Linked DNA regions of Drosophila melanogaster. The gene in region 1 interacts genetically with each later gene. Each region holds a gene or a part of one and is shown in the gene's direction. Other genes may lie near its edges.

Region 1 (7,900 bases):
TGAGAGTCTGCAGAAAAGTGAGTACCTTGGCTGGGAACCGGTTTCGCTATCTGCGATGCTGACCGCCTCCTGCTTGCTCGTTCTCTTCCCCGACAGCCCTCATGGACACCATTCAGATCGTGCAGACGCTGCGCAACTGCCTCCCAGCTCCTCACATACCCGTGTCGTCCTGGAAAAGTGAGAGCGAGGGCAACGTGGGATCAGGAGTGAGCGCGGGAGTAGGAGTGGGTGTCCCTGCAGGACTTAACCTGGGCGCCGCCTTGGGTCTGCCATCGGGCAACATGCACTAGATGCGGGCTGGAGCTCATCGGGTAGCATGCAATAGCTCCGGATTTATCCACTCACATTCTTCCAGCAGTTAGAGAACACTTAGTACTTACACGCAGAGAAAAGCATAGATGATAGGCATAGCAATTTACCCTCGTAGGCGTGGCTCCAGTTTTCCTTTTAGCAATTACGTGCCATGTTCAACACAAGACTTGATTTCACATTTTCCACATTTGACTGACCTTTAGGCATACATATGTATCGAATCCCGCGGCTTGAATTTGATTCCCATCACTCTTTGTTTTCCAGTTTGGCATGCAAAATTATGAAGCAAATCGGCAAATTAGTTAAACAATTGGCAAAACGTCTGTGATATTTGAATTATGTTGGCAAACGGAAGACAAAACTAAATTTAATTTATTACGTTGTGTGCCCTCTGTTGTAATGTCTTACTTTTTACTTTGTGCAATATCTACTAAGCATATATTCTTAGCCGTTCTCGTGCAATCGACGACTTTTCGCCCATATCAAAAGCAACTCGAATGTAGCCTATACTTAAACTAACCTACTGATAATCGGACATGATAGACGCGTAAGACTTACATTATATTTTGCATTAGGACTTCAGAGTATCTGAATAACAATTGGCGGATGGCCGCGGTGGCGAAAGCGACATTACGAGTTGTGTTTAAATTTAAGAAGCTGAAGAAGGGTTGTACTCCGCATGCAAGGGCTATTTAAATATATATTTTAACCCGCCCGAGCTCACCATTACCAGAAATTCGATAAACGAGCAAACAGTATTATACGCAATAAAAAGACACCTGCAACCATAAGTATTTACCTAGCTGATGTGTGGGAATTTATCGTAACATACCATATTATCGCTTAATGTTTAACTTCTGGACTTAATAATAAATAAATATTTTATTCTACGACAAAGAAGAACTTTTCAATGTAACATTATTAACTGCTTTAAGTCATATCCTTAAACTTTCGCCTTGAAAATCTTTAAAACCCTACAGGTATTCCAAATTAATAATCTCAGGTGCTAGAAATTTAATTAATATATTTTGGAAACAGCATAAATTAGTGAAAATACAACATTGTTTTAATCAAACATTTTTAAAAGCATGTTTTCGGTTGCAAAGTTTTCCAATTTCAATCCTGAAATTAAAGTTGAGTTGAACAATTGCTATAAAAAGCGACCATTTATTACGTTTTATAAACTGTCCCGATTGTGATTTTAGTTGTTTATTTTATTTCATATTTAAAACCGTTACTATTTTAAAAATCGTTCGCTAAAGATTGTGCTTTTAAGCATTGATAACTATCGCTAATTGCCAGAATTCGTAATCTTATTTGACTTGAATTGTAAAAATATAGGATTTAGGATTTTTACCAAATAGATGTAGTTCAAAGAACACAATTCTTTTTATTATTAAGCATTTTATTTTGGGAGTTCCTTGCACTAGCTTTTTGCAGCGACCTGTGTGTAAGCTTACATTGAGATAACATTAATGTGAACGTGCAGCGAATGCAGCACTATAACATTGGCCAGTGGAAACATGATATTTGCTAGCATGCTGACTGGCGCCGTGGATTTTGACGTTCTTAGTTGACGGTCACACAGCGCACCGAGCTGCGTTTTTCGTTGATAATTTTTAAATTTATTTATTAGTTTATTGGTTGGAAATAGAGCTGCCCCCAACTGCCCGCTGACCACGGAATTATCGGTCCGGTCCACCGACCTCCGCTTTCACACACTATTCGGCAATCGATATATACGCTGACGGTAATTGGAGAACGTTTTTTCCATTTTATCTCCACCTTGTCCGCACTTCGTTTTGTGCTCTCTTTGTGCGCTGCCTCCGCTTAACATTTGGGCCTGTAAGAAACACATATAAGCAGAACGGCCCGCCGTGTGTGCCTGTGAAATTGGTTAAATAACGTACAGTGGAATGGGCCAATGGCCAAAATGCAATAAGAATATGTGTGTGCAATAAAAATAGGGAACGGTACCGTGCCCCAAAACATGAAAATGGTGCTAGACGCTCCTAACGCCGTGCCGAGCTGGCATATTTTGCTTAGCGACGCCGTCGGCTCCGTTTTTCCCGGCCGCGAACTTTGCGCGAGGAATTTACAACAAAAACAATGAATTAAATGGTATTTAAATTGTCCATATAATGCGGTTTGGAAATGCGAAATTGTGCCTAACTTGCCCAATGCAAACGAATGTTTCTCTTTGAAGGCCCTGCTTAATGACGTCACAAGCGTAGCAGAGTGCAACAGACAGACAACAATGACCGATGAGCATAAAAGTAACATTAACAGTAACAGCAGTCACTCCAGCAACAACAACAACAACGGCAGCAGCAGCAATAACGACAACAACAGCAACGACGACGCAGCAAGTAGCAGCAACAGCAAAAACAACAACACCAGCAACGAGAGCAGCCACAGCAACAACAATACTAGTAGCATAATTGCAGAGGCGGCCGCCAAGTTTCTACTGAAAAATGGCCTAAACGGCAGTAGCAGCACCAGCTACCCCCCTCTGCCACCGCCTCTGCCCGCCAACTTAAGCAGGACGACCACGCCCACGACAACGACAACGCCCTCATCCTCCAGCTCCACCGCCTCAAATGGCTTTTTGCCGCATGCCAAGACGCCCAAAAGTAGTAGCATTATGGCTGCGTCCGCCGCAGTGGCAGCCAGCGTCGTTGGAGCTACTGCGTCCAAGCCCACCATCGATGTCCTGGGGGGCGTCCTGGACTACAGTTCCTTGGGCGGAGCTGCAACAGGCTCACTGCCCACCACTGCAGTAGTAGCGGCGGCAGCGGGAACAGCGAAGATCGGCAAGGGAAGCAACTCCGGCGGAAGCTTTGATATGGGCAGGACACCAATATCGACGCACGGCAACAACAGCTGGGGCGGCTACGGTGGTCGTTTGCAGTTCTTTAAAGGTAAGTATCTTGGTTTATTTATACCGAATCAGAGCAGTGTAAAGAAAACCATTTTTTAACTATTCTGCGTAGATGGCAAATTCATATTGGAACTGGCGCGGTCCAAGGATGGCGATAAAAGCGGCTGGGTTTCGGTCACGCGCAAGACCTTCCGCCCTCCATCGGCGGCCACCTCCGCAACTGTGACCCCAACGTCGGCGGTGACCACAGCGTATCCAAAGAACGAGAATTCCACATCGCTGAGCTGTACGTAACACATGGCATAGTAGTTCCCAACGGATTACCCCTTCCATTTAATTACTTGACCCGATTGGAATCAGATTTGAGTAAAAGGAATTGGATTTTGAAACATGTGTAGATAGCTAGCTTAATCCGAGCGGTCAAAGCTTACAAACACTTGCAGTTATAAAAAACATGTGCCTATTTGACTTAAATTGTTCTAATGGCACGTAGAGGATAAAGTCCAATTTCGAAAACAAAAAATCTGTAAAAAACGACCGCACCTATGTTCAAATCTCTGATCTATTTTAAAACTGTATATATCGGCCATCTCTAATATTATATTTAAAATCTACGAAAATGTCAAACGTTTTAATGAAATAGTAAGAAAAAACCAAACTGTTCAGAATCGGTCATGTTCTTTGTATGACAGTTTTCCAATTCGATCCTATAAAATATAATGTCCTCCCATCCTTGTATACATTTAAATCCTATTTCATAAATTGTTAACAATCTGAATCAAACAAAAGCAAATATTTATTTATGCCAAACTATAATTAACTACTACAATTTGTCTATGTATACCTTGCGTTAATATTCCTCTTCATTGCAGTTTCGGACGACAACAGCTCGATACAATCCTCTCCTTGGCAGCGAGACCAGCCCTGGAAACAGTCCCGACCCAGGCGCGGCATATCTAAGGAGCTGTCGCTCTTCTTCCACCGCCCCAGGAACAGTACGCTTGGCCGAGCTGCTCTCCGGACAGCCGCTCGCAAACGACGGCGCCCCCACGAGCCGCTTACCACCAGCGAGGATCAGCAGCCCATTTTTGCGACGGCAATCAAGGCGGAAAATGGAGACGATACTCTTAAAGCAGAAGCTGCAGAGGCCGTTGAAATTGAAAATGTTGCTGTGGCGGACACAACCACAAATGAGATTAAAATTGAAAAACCGGACACGATCAAAGGCGAGGATGATGCTGAACGGCTCGAAAAGGAGCCGAAGAAGGCGGTTAGCGATGATAGCGAGTCAAAAGAAGCATCGCCCGGTCAGCAAGTGGAACCACAACCAAAAGATGAGACTGTTGATGTTGAGATGAAGATGAATACGAGCGAGGATGAGGAACCCATGACAGAGCTGCCCAGAATCACGAATGCCGTAAATGGTGATCTAAACGGCGATCTAAAGGCGAGCATTGGGAAACCAAAATCCAAGCCGAAGCCAAAAGCCAAGCTCAGCAGCATCATTCAGAAACTCATCGATAGCGTACCAGCACGGCTTGAGCAAATGTCGAAGACATCAGCTGTGATCGCATCGACAACGACGTCTTCAGATCGCATTGGTGGCGGTCTAAGTCACGCCTTGACGCACAAAGTAAGTTTTACTTGGCACAACCTGCATAAGCTGCGGTTTCAAATGTTAATCATGTACTGCAACATTTTTATTATGTTAAAGTTGTAAATCTAGTTAGGGACTTTCATAAAGAAAAAACTTTGAATTGACCACTTAAATATCTTCTTTTAGGTTTCTCCACCCTCTTCTGCGACAGCAGCCGGACGACTAGTCGAGTACCACACCCAGCACGTGTCGCCCAGGAAAAGAATCCTGCGCGAGTTCGAAAAGGTGTCGCTAGAGGACAACGGATGCGTAAACAACGGCAGCGGTGGAGCTAGTAGCGGTGGTGCTGGAGGAAAACGGAGTCGAGCAAAGGGAACTTCGACATCGTCTCCGGCTGGCAAGGCGTCACCAATGAACTTGGCGCCACCCCAAGGAAAGCCAAGCCCCAGTCCCGGCTCCAGCTCATCCAGCACTTCGCCAGCGACCTTGTCAACGCAGCCAACGCGGCTCAACAGCTCTTACAGTATCCACTCCCTGCTAGGTGGGAGCAGTGGCAGCGGTAGCTCATCCTTCTCCTCCTCTGGCAAGAAGTGCGGCGATCACCCGGCAGCTATTATCAGCAATGTGCACCATCCACAGCACTCAATGTACCAACCCAGTTCCTCGAGCTATCCACGCGCCCTGCTCACCTCGCCAAAGTCGCCCGATGTGAGTGGCAGCAATGGCGGGGGCGGAAAATCGCCCTCGCATACAGGAACCAAGAAGCGTTCGCCACCGTACTCGGCGGGATCACCCGTAGACTATGGCCACTCCTTCTACAGGGATCCCTATGCGGGAGCAGGTCGTCCTTCCACATCGGGCTCAGCATCGCAGGACCTGTCGCCACCGCGCTCTTCCCCAGCATCGCCAGCCACGACGCCGCGTACTGTGCCCAAAAAGACTGCATCGATCCGACGCGAGTTCGCTTCACCGTCGGCCAGCAGCAGTAGCTGTCCCTCGCCCGGCGACCGGAGTGCATCGCCCCCGGAACGGCGGCACATGCAGCAGCAGCCGCACCTACAGCGTAGCTCGCCGCTGCACTACTATATGTACCCGCCACCGCCCCAGGTGAACGGGAACGGCTCGGCCGGAAGTCCGACCTCGGCGCCGCCCACGTCGAACAGCAGTGCAGCTGCAGTAGCGGCGGCAGCAGCGGCCGCAGCCGCATACATTCCCTCGCCTTCGATATACAACCCGTACATATCCACACTGGCGGCGTTGAGGCACAATCCGCTGTGGATGCACCACTATCAGACAGGAGCGTCGCCCCTGCTGTCGCCACATCCACAACCCGGTGGCTCAGCGGCCGCCGCTGCTGCAGCTGCTGCTGCGAGATTATCGCCCCAATCGGCCTATCACGCGTTCGCGTATAACGGAGTGGGAGCGGCTGTTGCCGCTGCAGCAGCTGCGGCAGCCTTTGGACAACCGGCGCCCAGTCCCCACACGCATCCGCACTTGGCCCATCCGCACCAGCATCCGCACCCGGCTGCACTGACCACCCACCACTCTCCCGCTCACCTGGCCACGCCAAAACTGACTGATAGTAGTACCGACCAAATGTCTGCAACGTCCAGTCATCGCACAGCCTCCACTTCGCCGAGCAGCTCGAGCGCATCGGCCTCCTCCTCGGCGGCCACTTCGGGCGCCAGCTCCTCCGCAATGTTTCATACTAGTAGTCTAAGGAATGAACAAAGTTCAGGTAAGCATTCAATCAGTGCACCAATAATGGCAAGCAGTTTGATGATTCAATTTTCATTCCTCTGGGAATGTCTGAAGAAAATATATTACAGATCCATTTATTATGTTGTCAATTTAATGCACGTAAAACACAATTTAATAACGTTTCTTATTTATTTCTTCCTTAGACTTACCACTGAATCTGTCAAAGCACTGAGACATACACACGCCCCAGCTGCCCCAGTTTCTGGGCCAACCATTCGAGTTAAGAACATTTTCGCACTAGTAGCGCTTAAGACGACATTCAATACACGTAATATAATTTGATAAGTTCGCTGATAGTTTAGTTGTAACCCGATTGTTTAATCCTAAGCCTAATCCTAGGTTCTCAATTAGGGCCGAACATTTAGAAATCGCATACAAAAAGAGATGAAAAACTCAACTTTGTTTTTAAACCCGTTCCAGAACTCTTTATACAATCAGTTGAGAAATTTTATTTTCGACAAACTGAATAAAATATGCAAAGGAATTTTATTCTATGCCGACTAATGGAAAGAAATACTAATAAAAACATTTTCTATAGGATGTATAAAATGCAAGTCTTAAAGAATCTCAAAAAAGAGTTACGTTTTTTTCATCAAAACATTTCCTTGAAACAGACTGAACCTGAATTTTTTTAGAAAAAAAAAATGAAAAACTTAGTTACGAATCGCAAAATATAACATTTTAAAGTATATTTAACAAAACTACAAGAACAGATTTTTATAAAATGCTTGTGCCTTTAAAAATGGAAACAGAACTAGGGATACAAAAATTAATATTAAAAAGAAAAAGAAGTTTACTATAAAAACATTTATGTGCAAGCATGTGCAGGTATTCTATGGTGAAAACTTTAGAATTTCTTGATATCGTGGTCCAAAATGCAGTTGACAGGAATTTGCACTAAGCAGATTGTATACGACACCAACTTTTTAAGTACTTTTAAAAATGTATCTTTTAATTATTTCGGAATAATTATTCTAAAATAGTTAAAAGATAAAAGCAATCCAAAACTATACAACTCGTCTGTACTTCAAAACGAAAGAGATTACTCTTTGGTCTTACATTTTTTGGTAGACTGTAAAAACTAAAATTCGAAAAAATTGTTGAAGTTTGAATTTAAATCCTCGGCGGATCTAAATTTAACCTCCACGATTGTTGTCACCATCAAAAATATTATATAACTGTGCCTAGTGCACATTCGCTGTCAGTGGCTGTCCAATCAAAAACAAATAAAATGTACAAAAAATCCACATATACGACAAATTTACAAGAAACGGAAAGCAAAAAGATCCTAAGCAGACAATTTCAAACCGGAACTCGTACAACTGAAACTGATACAAATAAAAAACATA
Region 2 (4,225 bases), about 15 Mb from region 1:
AATAAGAAACTCCTTTCTTTAGTTTAACGTCATAAAGTACCTTTCCAGTGGCGCTACTGCATCCGACTGGAGAACCTCGGCGAGCTGAGCGTGCAGCTGCGCGAGCGCCACTGGCGCATTTTCTCACTGTCTGGAACCCTGGAGACGGTGCGCGGAAGAGGAGTGGTGGGCCAGGAGCCCATTCTGAGCCCCCGGCTGCCCGCCTTTCAGTACAGCAGCCATGTGAGCCTGCAGGCTCCCAGCGGCCATATGTGGGGCACCTTCCGGCTGGAGCGCGAAGACGGATACTCCTTCGATTGCAAGATTCCGCCCTTCTCACTGGAGAGCAAGCCGGACGACCTAGGGACGCCCACACCGGCCACGCCCAGTGCCCACGATAAAAAGCGCGACGATAGCGATTAAGAGGCAGTTGTTCACCCGTAGTTAAATGATTTTAAAACGCAATCTTTTCTGACAATGCATGCGTACATGTGTTTAGTGCAAATTACAATAATCAACAAGGACGCAGAGCCAGTTTTGATTCTCAGCCAAGTCGCACGGTCTTTGGTTCTAGCTGAATGGCAAAGTCAAAGGGTCTCCGGTTGTCGCGGGTGTCAAAGATGCTCTGCAGAGCGTCGAGTGCCGCAGTCTCTGTGGCTGTTTTCACATCTTCACCGAATCCCTTGCCCAGTAGCTGCCGGTTGGCGTAGATGCCTACTTGGTAGGCGGCTAGCACAGTGTTCTTTCCGCAGTCTCCAAGCAGGCGGGGCTCCGCTTCGCCCAGCTTTCGCTCCTGGCATATCTTCTCCAGCAGCTGGATTGGTTCCTGGGGAGTCCACACCTCCAACAGGTCCTTTTGATTCAGTTGCGTGCAGATGAAATCGCGTACAAAAATGAAAGCCCTCTCGATTCCACTGGAACTGGCCAGGGCGCCAATAACTGCGTGTAAAGATTTGGCCTGACTTTCGGCCGAGGGCGGGTATTCCGTAGACTGTATCAGATCCTTTGTGCCCAGGTGGGTCGAGACGTGAGCAAGCGTTTCGGTGCTAAGTAGATAACTGGCGATCGCCTGGAGTCCTTCATTAGGGACCTTCGGTAACTGGTGCTGCAGGAAGGCCTCAACGTAGGCACGGGCAATTTGTTGGCCCTTCTCGACCAGATCGCTATTGTGAGGCATCTGGAGGTCAGACTCCTCAATGCCTAGCTGCCGACGACGATCCTCCTCCCGCTCTGCAAACGATTTCTCTGTAAAAGCACGCTGCAGCTCCGACAATTCAAAGGATTCGCCCAAACGCTTGCCGAACGCGAAGAGCTCCGATCGCTGGTTCCACTCCACGAACCCAGAACGCCGCTCTGGCTTTTGTGGTCCTAGTTTCTTCTGCCGGTGGGCGAGCTCACGTAACGTTGGCGAAACCCATCGCTTGATGTGGCGCCTCGTTTGCACTGCCGAAAATCACGATTACTGACTGGCATTAGGTGAATCCGGGTTACTCACCAGTCGGTGAGCCCTCCAAGAGCTTGACACGAGCCAGGAGACCAACAGCACTGCGTAAGAATGACATCTTTAAAGCGATCTTAAAAATAAGTAACGAATATGTTTTCGCGCATGGGAACTAGTGTTGCACGGGTTTTTGTGGCAGTGATGGCAGTCTAACCGTAAATATAATTTTATAACTTATAACTTAACTTATACATTTTAATAATATTTGTTTCTTGTTGTTTCTATATTTATTCAGAGATGTATAATTAAAAAAAAATAATAATAACTAAATATGTTTCTTTATGAATTATAATTTTATCATTTAATCGAGTAATTATAACGAAAAATACTTTCAGCTTTTTATTTAGCGTTTTGTAGCTAAAAGGCGCCAGTACTAAATTGCGTTGGTGGCACCCGCTCGTTTTCCAACACTCCCGCAATAGACGCCATGTACATGTCTGTGTTTGTGTATGCGCCAAGAAAATTTAAGTCGCGGAATATTAACAAGGAATCCCTGCCAGAAACAGGGCATTGAGAGACCACAGAAGAAAATATACCCAACATGGCACTGCAGACATACGGGGACAAGCCGGTGGCCTTCCAGCTGGAGGAGGGCGGCGAGTACTACTACGTGGGCTCGGAAGTGGGCAACTACATGCGCCACTTCCGCGGCATTCTGTACAAGAAGTACCCGGGAATGACCCGCATCGTCCTGTCCAACGAGGAGCGCAAGCGGCTGGCTGAGTCCGGCCTCAGCTCCCACATCTTAGCCAGCTCTGTATCGCTGCTCCGCGCCGTAGAGGTGGATGATATCATGGCCGGCAACGATGAAAAGTAAGTGGGCGTCTTACCTAAGTAATGTCCCCAGAATAGTAACTAAATAGGGCCTTTCCTAAAAATTCCAATTAACTTCGTTGATATCTACTTCCTACTAGTCCTACTTAAACGTTTGTTTTTAAATGTTTAATCCAATGGTATCAAGTAATCCTTTTATCAAATATAAGACATGTGTACATTTGGCTGAAGATTCTTCATTTTAGTAACATTGTTAATGACCACTTAGTTAAAAACCACTTATCATTCTGAAGTGAAGACGTATACAAACACACATAGCCACACACTGCCCAGTTATTTTGAAAAAATATGGAAAAATGTCATAGACATTTTTGGCAAAGCTGCCACAATAGTCTGTATGATTGACAACGATTTCCAATTGAGCACGGAGAATTGTATTATTGTCAGAATGTTGGGTAAATTTTGCCTGCTTGCAGGGCCAATCAGTCAATTTGCTAACAGTTGATTTAACTAACCATGAATCTCCGTCCCAGGTATCGCGCCGTCTCCGTGAACACTTCCGATACGCCAGTGCCGCGGGAGAGCAAGTCAAAGAAGCAGCCACAGTATGTGCCCACGATGCCGAACTCCAGCCACCTGGACGCAGTGCCACAGGCCACGCCAATCAACCGAAACCGAGTGCACACGAAGAAGGTTCGCACATTCCCGATGTGTTTCGACGACACGGATCCCACGGCTAGCCTGGAGAATGCGGCGCAGAAGGAGTGCCTGGTGCCCATTCGACTGGACATGGAGCTAGAGGGTCAAAAGCTGCGCGACACCTTCACGTGGAACAAGAACGAGAGCATGATTACTCCGGAGCAGTTTGCCGAGGTGCTGTGCGACGACCTGGACCTCAATCCCCTGCCCTTTGTGCCGGCTATTGCACAGGCCATCCGACAGCAGATCGAAGCCTTTCCCAACGATCCCCCCATCCTCGAGGAGACCTGCGACCAGCGGGTCATTGTTAAGCTGAACATTCACGTGGGCAACACCTCGCTCGTCGACCAGGTCGAGTGGGACATGTCCGAGAAGAACAACAACCCCGAGGAGTTTGCCATTAAACTCTGTGCGGAATTGGGATTGGGAGGAGAGTTTGTTACGGCCATTGCCTACAGCATTAGGGGTCAGCTATCGTGGCACTGTCGAACGTACGCCTTCAGCGAGGCCCCTCTATCAACGATTGATGTGCCCTTCCGGAATCCCAGCGACGCTGACGCATGGGCGCCATTCCTAGAGACGCTTACCGACGCCGAAATGGAGAAGAAAATCCGCGACCAGGACCGCAACACGCGCAGAATGCGACGACTGGCCAATACCACAACTGGTTGGTGATCTTCCGCCGATCCAGCAATGTGTCACTAATGTAATCCTCCTATTAAGTACCATTATGCATCCCAAATAAATGTGTGTCTGTCGATTTTAAAACCTATTGTCTTCTACGCGCTACTTCCAAAAAAAATAGTTCCAAACGATGTTACAAAATAAGCTGATACTCTTTACTGCTTACGCTAAACTCGAATCCTTATTCTACATTATCCAATACTAACTTTCTGCCGAATCGGGCTTGTCTTGGTCCTGATCGCCGTCGTAGAACTCGTTCTTAGCATCAACCAGCTTGTCCTCATCGGCTACGGATATTCGCACGTCGGGATCACTCGCCTCCTCCCGGTTGCTGCGCAGCTCCTCCAAGTCCACATCAGGCGGGGTCTGCACCATTTGGACGCTGGGCGAGTGCTGGCACATCTTAAGGTTTTCATACACATGCTTAACGATGAGTTCAAGATACTGCTTTGAGTTAGCATTATCTTGGCGTGAGTTAATCTCTGGATGGAGTGTAAAGTCGGGGGCGAAAAAGTCGTAATACTCGGTGGCGGGTAGGTCATTTTCAATGTCTTGGTCCACCAGCAGCGAGGTCTCGTGCGTCCAGCA
Region 3 (7,585 bases), on another chromosome or scaffold:
TCAGCTTTCAGCTTTCATCTTTCAGCTTCCAATTCGAATCCTGCATCGCCGGGAGCCACTCAATCCGTGGGCTTTGATGCAATTTGGCTTCTGTGCAGGCCACTCTGCCACTTGGTGTAGCCCGTTTCTGCCCCGTTCTGTTCTGAGAGTTGCGAGCTGCGAGCTGTGATCTGTGTGGCTCCCCGATCACGCCATGTGTAGTTTAGTTGCAGTTTCGATTCACATCGGATTGCCTTGCCCAGGCAGCACATCAATCATCCATCACGCACCAAAGGCCGGGAGACAACGACCCAAAACGGGCAGTGCAAACCTGAATGGCAAACGGCCCATGCCACGCATGCGATTTATACGTGTCCAAGGTTCACTCTGGATCGCAATGGATGCAATTTGGCCACTTCACTGCACATTTGACCGGATTAAAATTCCTTTCAAATGGCTATATGCTACTAAGCTCTTTTAAATTGCAGGCATTTTAGTTATTGTTATTTAGCGATCATTTTATGTTATCTTTCAATGCAATAAACGATTTAGTTTGTTTAAAAAGGACTTTCAGGCTTAAATCTTCTTTTAATAAGTTTATGTTTAAAAATCGAGTTTTAATTGCAATTGGTCAGTTTAAAAGCGGAATAGTAGTTATGAAGTCCACAAAAAGGAAGCAATTTAATGCTTTTCTGTTTTATTATAATGCTAATGTTTATATTTTGCTGAGGTATTATTTACCAATTATTTATATATATTTTTTTGTCTTTCTCCTGAGTAGAATCAAATAAAAAGTAAAACAAACATACCATACTGCCATTTTATTGATACAATATTACAGCTATTTTAATAATTTCGAAATAAAATATTTTATTATTATTATTTATTTTAGAAGTGTAAGCAAAAAGCCAAACTTCTTTTCAGTCTTTAGCCTTAATTGTTAGAGATTATACATATGCATGAACTTTTGTAAATGTAGCTCATTTGTACACAGATCGATATGATAATCAAGAGTTGGTATTTGAAAGTGCCTACTTATTGGGGCCATGGTCTCTGGCTTAAAGTAACGATAAATTGAATGCATTACTCAACAGTAAAGATTACGAACTAAATGTTCCTAAATGGTACAATTTAAGCTGTACGGTTAATTCAATCAATTAGAATATTACATTAGGCGAGAAATGCACCTAAAGGTTGACTTCAAACGTGCTATGGTATCCCAACTACATTTGTAGTTAAAATTAAAGGGTTCCCCAACTCCTCTTTCTCTTCTTATTCTGGTTCTTCTTCTTGTCACTTCCCCAAAGCGTTCGCTCTCTCTCACACTCACTGCTCTTCATTCGTCTGCTTCTTCTTCTTCTTCTTGCCACTGTTTATACTCAGCACTTTACCAACAACGAGTTTATAATTGTTTGATTTGTGTGCGCGCATAGTGTGCATGTGGTTGTCCCGCTCTCGCGCAGAAGAGCGAGAGAGCAAGAGTTTGCCTCAACGGGCGCCATTATGAAAGTACGGTACTCGTAAACCGGTTGGCGTTTCGAAAAGCACTCAAAAGCGGAGTGAAACTGTTCGAGTGGAGCGGAGTGACCCGGGTGACCAGGTGAAATTCAAGCGCTCATTGTGCTGAGAGCAGCTTTCGCGTGAACAACGTTTCAACGGAGCGCAGTGTTCGCAAGAAATTCGATAAAAACAAATTCTATAATAAAAATAAGAGCAAGAGATACGCAGGAGCGTTTTCTAACTGTTTCTGTCGGGATCGACTGTCGTGCATTTGTCACTGTGTGTGTATCTGTGTGCGTGTGTATGCGAGTGTGTGAGTGAGCAGCACGCTATGAATCCAATTGACCGCATTGCGTTTCCATTTCCGTTTCCGGTTGCATTCGCTATAATCGATACCTCTGCCTTGGATGTGCGACACTTGTGACTGTGATTGTGTTATACCCAAATAAAATTAATAAAATAAACAAATATAAAATAACAATAAATAATAAAGAGAATTGGAAAGAGCGATTCTTAGACATGTTGATTGAGCCGACTTTAAACCGTGACCTTGGCTCGCTTACTGTCGCTAATTCTGGCCTCTCGGCCGCGCACTGGAAAATGGAGCCCCATCCCCAACGCATCACATCGCTGGCCCCTCACGCTTCCAGTGGTAAGTGCCCCAAAGTGCCCATGTGAAGTCTTGCCGACGGCAAAGCCAGGCTTGGGGATTTTAAGAAAATATACACAAATCTTCAAAAAATAAATCCGAAACTGGGTCAAAGGTGTAATATGTCATTCGATAGCAAATCCGGAATGTTCGAATTTTAATTTAAACAAATTAGTTCTTTCGCGATAAAACCTAAAATCTATTATTGAAATTATGTATAACTAATAACTAAGCATCGTTTAAATTAGTGTGTTAAAACGGTGTTTCGGTTAAAGTATTAAATAAAGTATCAAACTGGGTCAAATGTGTTTATGTGTAATTCTTAACCAGATCCATTTAGTTTGAATATAGTTGGTGTTAACTTTTCGCTGTAAAACAAACAATTTTTTATTTAAATGGTATATGGTAGATAAATTATGTAAATTATCAAATTGATCATACAAAGGTCTATGTAAAACTAACTTTGAGTGCCTTTTTATTTTCTTAAACAGAAGATAAAATAAGTGTGATCCTTTATAATATTTCTAGTTTAAACAATGTGGGCCATTTATAAGAAAGCGATTAAAATTTGTCATGTTCGTACTTAGTATGTTCATAACAAATGTTTTATGTTATTCCAACTTAAATCTTCAGTTAAAACAAACACAAATCGTTACGCATGTCACATTACCAATTGCGTGGCTCATTTGACAGTCCCATTTCCTTGCTTTTCACCTTTAAATAGACCGAAATAAACAAAACTGGTTCTCATTTGATGGGCGGCACAATTGATTATGGGCCCATATACTTACATATATGTATATTCAGTTAGGCACGACTGGAGGTGCGCGTATTTTTTTAAAAATATTTACTTGACAAACAACAAAAGTGAAACGCGCATTTAAAACGCTAATTGACAATTTGAGCGACGAGTTGCCCAAGCCGAATGATATATGTAGGTTTTTTAAGCGAAGGCAAATATAATATTCTGTCGAATTAACGTAATACACAGTTGTTTTTCTACTTGTTTTTTGCTTTCTTTTCGTATCCAGCTGAGTACATATTTTAATTTTCGCCTTTTGTACTAAGAGATCATTGTCGTATCAATTAGCTTGATAAATCTGCTCGTGCCTGGAAGATTCGATTGCGTGTCGCCACCATTTTGGCCATTCGATCAGCTTAGACATTTGCTGGGGTAATAGAAACGCTAATATATTCGTAGGACCCATCAGTCATTTCGGTTCGGTCAACACAATTAACGCTTAATTTATCATAATTAACCATTGTGGCCGCGACAGCTAAAGCCACAATAAAATAACAATACCCAATTATCATTCAATTGCAGTAGCGGCGGCATCCGTGGCAGCAGCAGCAGCAGCAGCAGCGGCAGCGGCAGCAGCGGCGGCCGGAGCGGGATCGGGAGCGGTAGCCGGTGGCGGAGGGGCCACATCCACATCACCCACATCTGTGCAAATACCACCCGGCTTTGGCGGCGGCGGCTCCACTGGCGGCATTCCGCACGGTGCAGGTGGACCCACGGGGAGCACATTGAACACCCTGATGTCACAGCATCGCCTCCTGGAATTCTCACGTTTCGGTGGACTGCGTGGCTATGACATTGCCCAGCACATGCTAACCCAGCAGGGAGCTGTCTCCAAGTTGCTAGGTGAGTTGTGAGCCCTTGAAAGGGACGACCGCTCAGTTTCTCAGTTCCTTCCCTCATCAGATAACTAATGGGTACTTTGTTTTCGATTTGTTTGCTAATTTTTATGATAAACATGTTATTATCCTGCGAGTTGCCCCTACCATCCCCTGCGTGGCGTATCCCTCGTGTGCGCAGCCGTGTAATTTGGCCACTTAAAATTGCATAAACTCCTGACTGGCGGTGGCCAAAACGCGGCTGGCTCATTAATCAAAATGCGGCTTATTCACGAGCGGGTATTCCTTGGTGGTAGTGTTGGTTGGTGCGTGCTGCCGTGCACTGAAAGAAAAAAATGCTTAATTCCAAATAAGGATATGTGATCACATTTATTCCATGTTTAGAATTTTTTAAGTCTTTTAAACCCGTCATTACAGTAACTTTAAGTAGTTAAAATCACTCATTTTTAAGTTTTCCAATTCTTGAGCTGCTCTGGTTTCTACCAGTGTATTTGCCAAGGCTTGTATTGTTTTCCCATTCATATTTTCCATACATCACATGTTGATGAAACGAGCAGATAAAGATATTAGCAACCAGGGTTAATCCTTGCTGCCAGCCAAAAACAGATGGATTGCCAAAACCAGGCTGGCAAAGTCATAAATCCATTGTCTCATAATTTAACTGGAATTGTGCTCTGATTCTTGCAGGCTCGCTGCGACCACCGGGCTTAATTGGTGGCTCAAAGCCCAAGGTGGCCACGCCGACGGTCGTCTCCAAGATCGAACAGTACAAGCGCGAGAATCCAACGATCTTCGCCTGGGAGATACGAGAACGCCTGATTTCGGAGGGTGAGTGTTCCACATAATTGCAGCTAATCCGCGGACGCAGATTGAACGCTGATTGATCGGCGGTCGCTTTTAGCTTTTGATCTCGATCTTCGACTGCTCGGTAATTGCGTAATCCCGCCTTGCAGGTGTCTGCACTAATGCCACCGCTCCATCGGTGAGCAGCATCAATCGCATCCTGCGCAATCGAGCCGCCGAGCGGGTGGCCACCGAGTTTGCTCGCACCGCCGCCTATGGCCTGTACCCGCCACCCCCTCATCCGTACGGTAGCTTCACCTGGCATCCGGCCGGCAATGTGCCCGGCGGCCAGGGGGTACCACCACCGCCACCTCCATCCGCCCTGTGGTCCGTTGCCGCTCCCACGCTCGCCAATCTGCCTCCGAGTGCAGCGAGCGCTGTGCCCGTCTCCACTTGTGGCTCCCTCAGTTCGGCGCACTTGATGGCCGGCGGAGCAGGTGGCACACCAACCAATCGGGCCATCTCCCCTGGCTCTGGCAGCCATGATACCTTGGAATCAGCGGATGAGAACCGGCACATAGACTCCGATTATCTGGATGACGATGATGAGCCCAAGTTCAGGCGGAATCGGACCACCTTCAGTCCGGAGCAGTTGGAGGAGCTGGAGAAGGAGTTCGACAAGAGTCATTATCCTTGTGTGAGCACCAGGGAGCGGTTGTCCAGTCGCACCAGCTTGAGCGAGGCAAGAGTTCAGGTGAGTCAGGTGAAAACAAAGGCTTCACTCAAAACTTTCAAAAAGCAAGATTAAAAGTGGCTAGTAAAGTAGTTACATACCATTTGATTTAAATTAATGAGTAAATCAATACTTTTATATCAGAAATTAGAGTTACCTCTTTCAAAGCCAATTAACCAAAACCTCAAATAACTAATCTTTATTAAATATCATTTATTTCTACCCTTTCCAGGTGTGGTTCTCCAATCGCCGGGCTAAATGGCGTCGCCACCAACGCATGAATCTCCTGAAGCGTCAGCGCTCCAGTCCCGCCAATCCGCTGCACTCGCAGCAGTCGAACGATGCACCGGCCAGTTCGCCCACGCCCAGTAACCACAGCAGTGCCTCCACCTCCGCTCCAGTGGCTCCCGTGCCGCCACCTCAGCAGCCGTTGCCCCTGTGCGGTGACCACTCGCCACAGGGTCCGCCACCTTCGGTGCTGTTACACCCACTGCATGGTCCTCCGGGCGGCCACCATCACCATCATCCTCTGCACCTACCCACGCATCCAGCTGCCCTCCAGCTGCTCAGCCACTACCACCAGCAGCAGCAACAGCAACAACAGCAGCAGCATCAGCAGCAGCAGCAGCAACATCATCAACAACAACAGCAACTCTCACCCAGTGGATGCAATCCGGCGGCGAATCACCTCTCCATGGGCGGGGAGCGTAGTGCCTTCAGGAGTCTGGTGAGCTCGCCCTCGGCGGCTGCCTTCCTGGGATTGGCCAGGCAATATGCCGTGGCTGCATCATTAACGGTCGCCGAGGAGCAGCGCTCCAGATTGCACTACTCCGCAGGTGGTTTGGGGAGCGGTGGTGAGGGCACGGGACCCAATACCAACACCACTCAATCTGGCGGCTCAACCATGACGGTGGACAACTCGTCATCGGACTCGGATGAGGAGATCAACGTGCACGACGATTCCGATGGTGAAATTGAGTCGTCGGCGGCAACGGCGGCAAAGGTGGCTCGCCTGTCATCCTCCGATGCGCCGGCCACGTTGCAATTCCTAAAGCATGACCGCTAGATGGGCGACATGGGCGACAAGGGCCACCTGGTCTAGATGGGCGGCGGCAAAGTCTAATTGAAAACCTGAGTTGTGCGCGCCTCTGTGATTGACAGTGGCAACAAAAACAAAAGCAGCAAAAGCAACAGCAACTACTGATGCAATTGCAATTGCATTTGAAATTGCAACTGGTGGACTGAAATACGAGAAGCGACTACACACACAGTGGGCAAACAAATCGAAAAACCAAAGTTAAAATGCTGCTCACCTACTTGGCTGCGGTTCGGGGTCGCTAGAAAAAAGAAAAAAAAAACTAAATAAAAATAGAAAAAAGTAAACAGAAAAATGTAGCAGAAAGCAGCAGCAACAACATAATGGGCGGCTTAAGATTAGCTGAAATTGTAACTAATACCCGATACGAACACGCTTGTCCCACTTGAAATGCACATGCCCATTGTATACCCTATAGTTATGCATAATTATACTATAATACTTGTTCATTCGCCGGCTGCCGACTTACCTCATCACCATTTAAGGCTATAGCATATGCAATATCTAACTATATGTAACTTTAAACTTTAAAATAGTCCTAAGCCAAATCTATTTATGAATGCGTATTGTTTAAGGATTTGATTCTTGAGTTGGTTGCGTTTGAACTGATATTTAGTGCGTAGACTAAGTGTTTTTGGCTCAAATAAAAGAAAAAAACTAAAATGGTCAACCGCTGAGTGAGAAACCAATAAAAAGTGCAAGAAATAATGAAGAATCGTTTACTTTCTTTCGGCAATAAACAAACAGAAATATATGACCAGGAAATCGGTTTGTATAGACTCGCTTTGGTTTGACAACAAATACAATTTATACGTTCGATTTCACGCATAATTATCCATTCAAACACACTGGGCAACAAACAAACACACCAAACACGGCCGAAAAGCATAAATAAGCATTTAACAACACTCGAAAGCTTCTTAAAACGTTATTAAATATTAATACACCGAACGAAGACAGAACAAAAAGCCAAACGAAATCGAAATCAAAAAAAAAAAAAAAAAAAAAAAAAATCCAAATCCAAAATACGCGCATAGAAAACGCTTAAATTTCGAACGTAATGGCCAATATGTCCAAATCTGGCTGATAACATCGACATTTTAATTATAACCAAATGAAGCCGCGCGCACAAACACAGTGGGGACAGACTAAACGCGACGAGGAGATGAGAATGGATGGTATGGTTTGGTATCATATGGTATCGTAT
Region 4 (4,816 bases), on another chromosome or scaffold:
CACCATTTTGGTTTCGTTTCTTTTGTCGCCGTCTCATTTTAATCACTCATACATACATACATACATACATCTGCATATGAAATATACGTGCATATGTATAATACCAATAAGCATGTGGCATATAACTTATAGCCAAACACCTACGTTCACTTTTGGCTCTTTGCAGTGCTTCTCTTTTTTGAAAGACCCACGAATTTTGTACGAATCGCGTAAACGCGTTTATTTTCCCTGCCCACAATCACACACACACACACTTAGAGATAGTGGTGTGGGTTGAGTATCTGCGTGTGCGTGTGTGTGTGAGTGCGCCACTATTCGTTCATTCACAAATTGTGTTGTTGCTGCCTTGGCATGCTTTTGCTTTGTTTTTTCTTTTTTTTGGTTTTTTCTCAATTCAGTTTTGTTTTGTAAACACACACATACACACCTGGATGGAGGCGCACACAGATACACTGACACCTCGGCAGCTGCGCCACACACACAACCGCACACACGGTGTGCAAAGAGAGAGAGAGCGCGCTCTCTCTCTCTCTCGTGCATCGGCATTTCAAGTTCAGATATCGTATCTGTGAAGTTGTTTTGCCGGCATTTCGATTCTCACGAGCGCAGAGAGAGAGACCGAAACTGTATCTGTGTGCGAGCGAAACGTGTGTGTGGTATAGGTGAGAGAGTTTATCCGACGATTTTATCCGGGCCTTCAATGCGGCTCAAAATCAGTCAACTGCGATTTTCTTATAATGCAAGTTGGCTTATATGCATGTTAGACAAAAATAACTTCATGGGTACAAATGAAAGTCTAAAATTAAACAAATATATATTTTAGATCATTTTGTAGCGCTTTAATTTTTTTGCGAAGTTAAACAAAAAAGAGTTCCAATTAAGAATATTATATTATTTTTAAAAGAAAATAAGTTCAAAGCCAAGAATTATTAAAAACTAGACTAATTAAATTTCAATCAAAAAGTATTGAATTTACATTTTTGCTTTAGAGAATGTTTGAGTTTTAAACTGTAACTAAAAACGCTGCTATTACTATTTGTAAAACATTTTAATAAATTATATATTTGAAATTGTTTTGTAATTGTTTCTAAGATTAGAAGGCCCTTAAAGTCGATAAAGTACTAAACGCATAAATCAAAATTTTTTGGCTTCTGAGCAATGTAAGTTTAGTTTAGTTTAGAACTCAAATGAAAATGAAATGCTGTATTAAGAAGAAAGGGCTCAATTAAGTGACATATATTGCTCGAAGGATGCGAAAAGTGACCTAAAAGCCGGCCAACTTCCCAAAGGATTCAACGAGCGCTGCTTCTATTTGCCTTCGCCTTCTGCAAGACAGTGGAAAAGACATCCGCTTGGATTCGGATTTCGTTAGCTTATCTTCGCATTCGATGTTATATAACGCCAGTCGGTGGAAGTGGGAGGTGCCTATTCGGAGCTCGACTCGCAACTGGCGACCCAAAAGCGCCAAATGCAGCCGAGTGCCCCCATTGGCATAGAGTTTTGAGCAATTAGAAGCCCACGCAGCCATAAACAACAACTGCTCGGGCGGGCGGAGAGTGGGAGGAGAAGCTCTTCGAGCAGCTCCCACCGAGAAAAGCGGAACACAAAAAAAAAAAAAAGAACTAGAGAAATCTCCACTGCACGTGCTGCTCTTTCTCGCTCTCTCGCGACTTTATCCGGCGAATGAGAGGCCAACAGTCGGCACTAACACACAGATACCGCCGCCTGTTTGCCTCGGTGTGGGTGTCTCTCGGTGCGATGGTATTGGTGCCTGGTATCGTCGCTGTACGAGTGGCGACTCTACTCAGAAGTCAGTTTCTTGCTGGGCAGTGTCGGTTCAGGTTCATCGACGCTCCGCACGCGCTGCCGCAAATTCTTCAGTGCTGAATAACCAAGACGCGTCTTTTTCGGACCCAAAAAAAAAGAAAAATATATAGAAAATATATCCGAACGTAACGTAATCTTCGCAGTGCGCTTACAGACTCCCCCTCCAACCCGCCACACAAAAAACTCTCTTTCTCTCTCTCTCCGCGAAGAGAGTTTCAGTGGTTGGTTTGGATAGGTCTTGGTGGTTCGGTGTTGCCGTCGCTGCTGCCGAAGCTCTGCCGACGCCGACGACGACGCCACGTCGGGAAAACCAACCTCTTGCAGTGAAAATCTTTTCGTACGTTTTCGTTATTTGTTATTCGCACGTTGACGCGACGAGACCGCGAAACACGACAGCACGAAACTGCAGCCCAAAACTGCAACTGCAACTGCAACTGCAACAATAACGATCGCGCGTGCAACAACAGCAATTCGAAATCTAATAGTGGCAAGCTGCAAAGTATCTAAACGCCTAGAAATCCGTAAACTAAACTCGCCAAATCATTTAAAATCAAGTGAAAAGTGTGTGTCTTAACAGCCCATTAAGTAATATAAATCAATTAAAGCCGCAAAACACACAATAAGCCAAACACGCAAACGCAGCATAAGCACAAATAATACATAAAAATAAAAGAAGTGTGATATTTTGATATTAGCAATTAGAGTTTACACAACGCAGCCTAAAAAATATTTGTTAAATGTGTTTTGCCACCCCGAAGGCAAAAGCTACAAATTGGATAATGCTTGGATAATTCCCCTCCTACAAAAAAAAAAAAAAAAATTAAAGGTGAGTTCGCGAGATCGCTCAATTTGCCGACGGCTTAGTCATTTGGACAGCCGAAAGAAAAAAAACTATAAAGTGCCATCTCAGCTGTGCTGTTTGGTTGGTCGAAATGTGTCAAAAGCTGAGCTCCAGTTACGAATAGGATCGGTTTACCATAACACTCAGCGTAATATCAGATCGGCGGCTATATGCTATATACATATGTACATATGTATGTGTGTGCTGCAATCGATTGCACCCATGAATGATGGACTGATGATGAGTCCATATCAGCACGGGCCCCCTCCAGTGGCATCATCCACATCATCATCATCATCATCATCATCATCATCCCAATCTCATCTCACTCCCATGCCATATTGACTCTATCTATATTGACGTCAATCGCAGCAGCAACTTGACATCGCCGATCTGCAGATCGTGTGCCTGGCAAATTGACGCACACAAAAGCGAGTGAGATAGAGAGCCTGGTAGAAAGATAGTACTAGGACCCTTAGCCCCAGTTTCCTCACATCCAGTTGCAGCTCCAGATTCCCACTTCCAGTTTTAGCCAGTCTCGGGGAATTTTAATTGCCCATCTTGGCCAAAAGCAGAGCTGGGCTGCACTCCCTCTCTCTATCTCTCTCTCTCTCTCTCTCTATGTGAACTATGCCAATTGTCTACACCTGAGCCGAAGAACTGCCCGTCTGGCTGACAAATTTGTATGCACGCGCTTCAAAAGTGCAATATTAATTAATTCCAGCAACTCGAGACACGGGCAGCAACAACATCAACTGATCTGTATGCAACAGAAGTTGCAAGTTGCTAGTTGCTAGTTGCTTGTTGCAAGTTGCTGGTTGCTAGCGGTTGCTACTTAGTCGAGGCAATTAAATCGTATGTCATTCATTGGTAATTTATACCATTTACAGGCATCTGCTCGATGTGGTTGGTTCCTTAAACAACAGTTCTGCGATAATAGCTCCGCGATGTTTTACACTTGCCCATTAGCATAGATTACTGCATCAAGTGCTGGACCAAAATCCGTTTGCTTTGCTTTTGACCTGTCTGGCAAACGCCAAACGCCAATAGCCACAACGCTTGATCGATCGCTCTAAACCGATTTCGATTCCGATCCGATCCGATCCGATCGGCGATAAATGCAACTTGCCATGAAAAGTGCTGCCTTAAATGGGCATTAGGCTATTGCACATTTCTCAATATGTCGAGTGATTTTTTCTCTGCTCCTCCAACGCGGCTGACTTATACGCACCGCACCTTATATGACGAACGGCGACGTCTGCCGCTGTCCCACTGCATTTGGCATATAAAACAGACGGAGCCACTCGGTGGCTTCCATCGGTGGTGCAGTTGGGGGGCAATGGTGGCGATGGTGTCTCAGGTGGTTCGCTGGTTGGAGTCTCACCCGCACGACGCCATTTCTCAGACCCCGATGTCAATGGCAATTTGCATTTTCCACACAAAAGCACCTAGGTGCTCCTGGTGGCGGCTCCCTTCCCTAGAAACAGGGCGGAATAAAAAAAAAAAAAGAAAATAACGCCATATATACTGTGTTTGGTCGAGTTAAGGTCCCTGGTTCAGTGGTTAATTTATTTCTGACACAGCCTTAAATTAACAATTTTAATACAAACAACAAAAGAGCGCGCATTGAAATTGAGACGTTGAGCGAAATACAAAAAAAAAACACAAAAAAACTCAGAAAAAATACAAAATAAAATAAAAAACAGTGAAAATGCACACAATAAAGGGAAAAAAAACAAAAAGCTTAAAAGGAAAAAACATAAAATAAATTTACAGCAAAACAAAAGCGTGTTACAGAACAAAGGAGACGATTTTGGGGAGCAGTGAAAGAGGAATGTGTAAAGTGAAATAAAATTCTGGCGCGTTAATTAACTTTAAACGATTGAAAACGAATTGATTTGGAGAAGCCATTTGATTTGGATTAGTCGTGCCCGATTCAGAAAAAATGCCACAAAAGGTTGTGGAGGTGGACCCCCAGCTCAAAGGGGTCACAGCTTTTGGCCAAGCTGCTGGGCTGAAAATTAAAATTCAATCATCACGTGTGCGTTAAAAGAGACACACCATCGGCCATCTAACAATCAGACAGATCATTGGAGTTGTTAATTGAAATGCGTTAAACAATAAAACAAAGACTGTCATGTCTGTCAC

Evidence for each region.
Region 2: of H (region 1) and Snr1, changing one suppresses a phenotype caused by changing the other (phenotypic suppression), as found in Drosophila melanogaster (one study listed by BioGRID).
Region 3: of H (region 1) and eyg, changing one suppresses a phenotype caused by changing the other (phenotypic suppression), as found in Drosophila melanogaster (2 studies listed by BioGRID).
Region 4: of H (region 1) and klu, changing one suppresses a phenotype caused by changing the other (phenotypic suppression), as found in Drosophila melanogaster (2 studies listed by BioGRID).

The regions. Positions count from the first base shown.
Region 1 is NT_033777.3:20,620,066-20,627,965, forward strand, and holds the start of H (hairless), read left to right. Parts: upstream 1-1,872; 5' UTR 1,873-2,430; coding exon 2,431-2,433; exon of another isoform or gene 2,434-2,518; coding exon 2,519-3,233; intron 3,234-3,305; coding exon 3,306-3,479; intron 3,480-4,065; coding exon 4,066-4,826; intron 4,827-4,976; coding exon 4,977-6,528; intron 6,529-6,694; coding exon 6,695-6,723; 3' UTR 6,724-7,900. Other genes in the region: CG5466 (uncharacterized protein), read left to right, coding at 1-17, 97-290. UniProt on the Drosophila melanogaster protein: Is a potent antagonist of neurogenic gene activity during sensory organ development. The expression of distinct cell fates by the trichogen (shaft) / tormogen (socket) sister cell pair depends on the level of H activity.
Region 2 is NT_033777.3:5,469,038-5,473,262, forward strand, and holds Snr1 (Snf5-related 1), read left to right. Parts: upstream 1-1,888; 5' UTR 1,889-2,021; coding exon 2,022-2,293; intron 2,294-2,787; coding exon 2,788-3,628; 3' UTR 3,629-3,717; downstream 3,718-4,225. Other genes in the region: POLDIP2 (polymerase (DNA-directed), delta interacting protein 2), read left to right, coding at 49-402; mRpL44 (mitochondrial ribosomal protein L44), read right to left, coding at 524-1,422, 1,475-1,541; HDAC3 (histone deacetylase 3), read right to left, coding at 3,839-4,225.
Region 3 is NT_037436.4:12,462,032-12,469,616, reverse strand, and holds eyg (eyegone), read left to right. Parts: upstream 1-1,595; 5' UTR 1,596-1,998; coding exon 1,999-2,131; intron 2,132-3,452; coding exon 3,453-3,773; intron 3,774-4,453; coding exon 4,454-4,594; intron 4,595-4,719; coding exon 4,720-5,303; intron 5,304-5,514; coding exon 5,515-6,348; 3' UTR 6,349-7,080; downstream 7,081-7,585. Other genes in the region: CG32102 (uncharacterized protein), read left to right, coding at 194-460.
Region 4 is NT_037436.4:11,006,187-11,011,002, reverse strand, and holds the start of klu (klumpfuss), read left to right. Parts: upstream 1-1,814; 5' UTR 1,815-2,653; intron 2,654-4,816.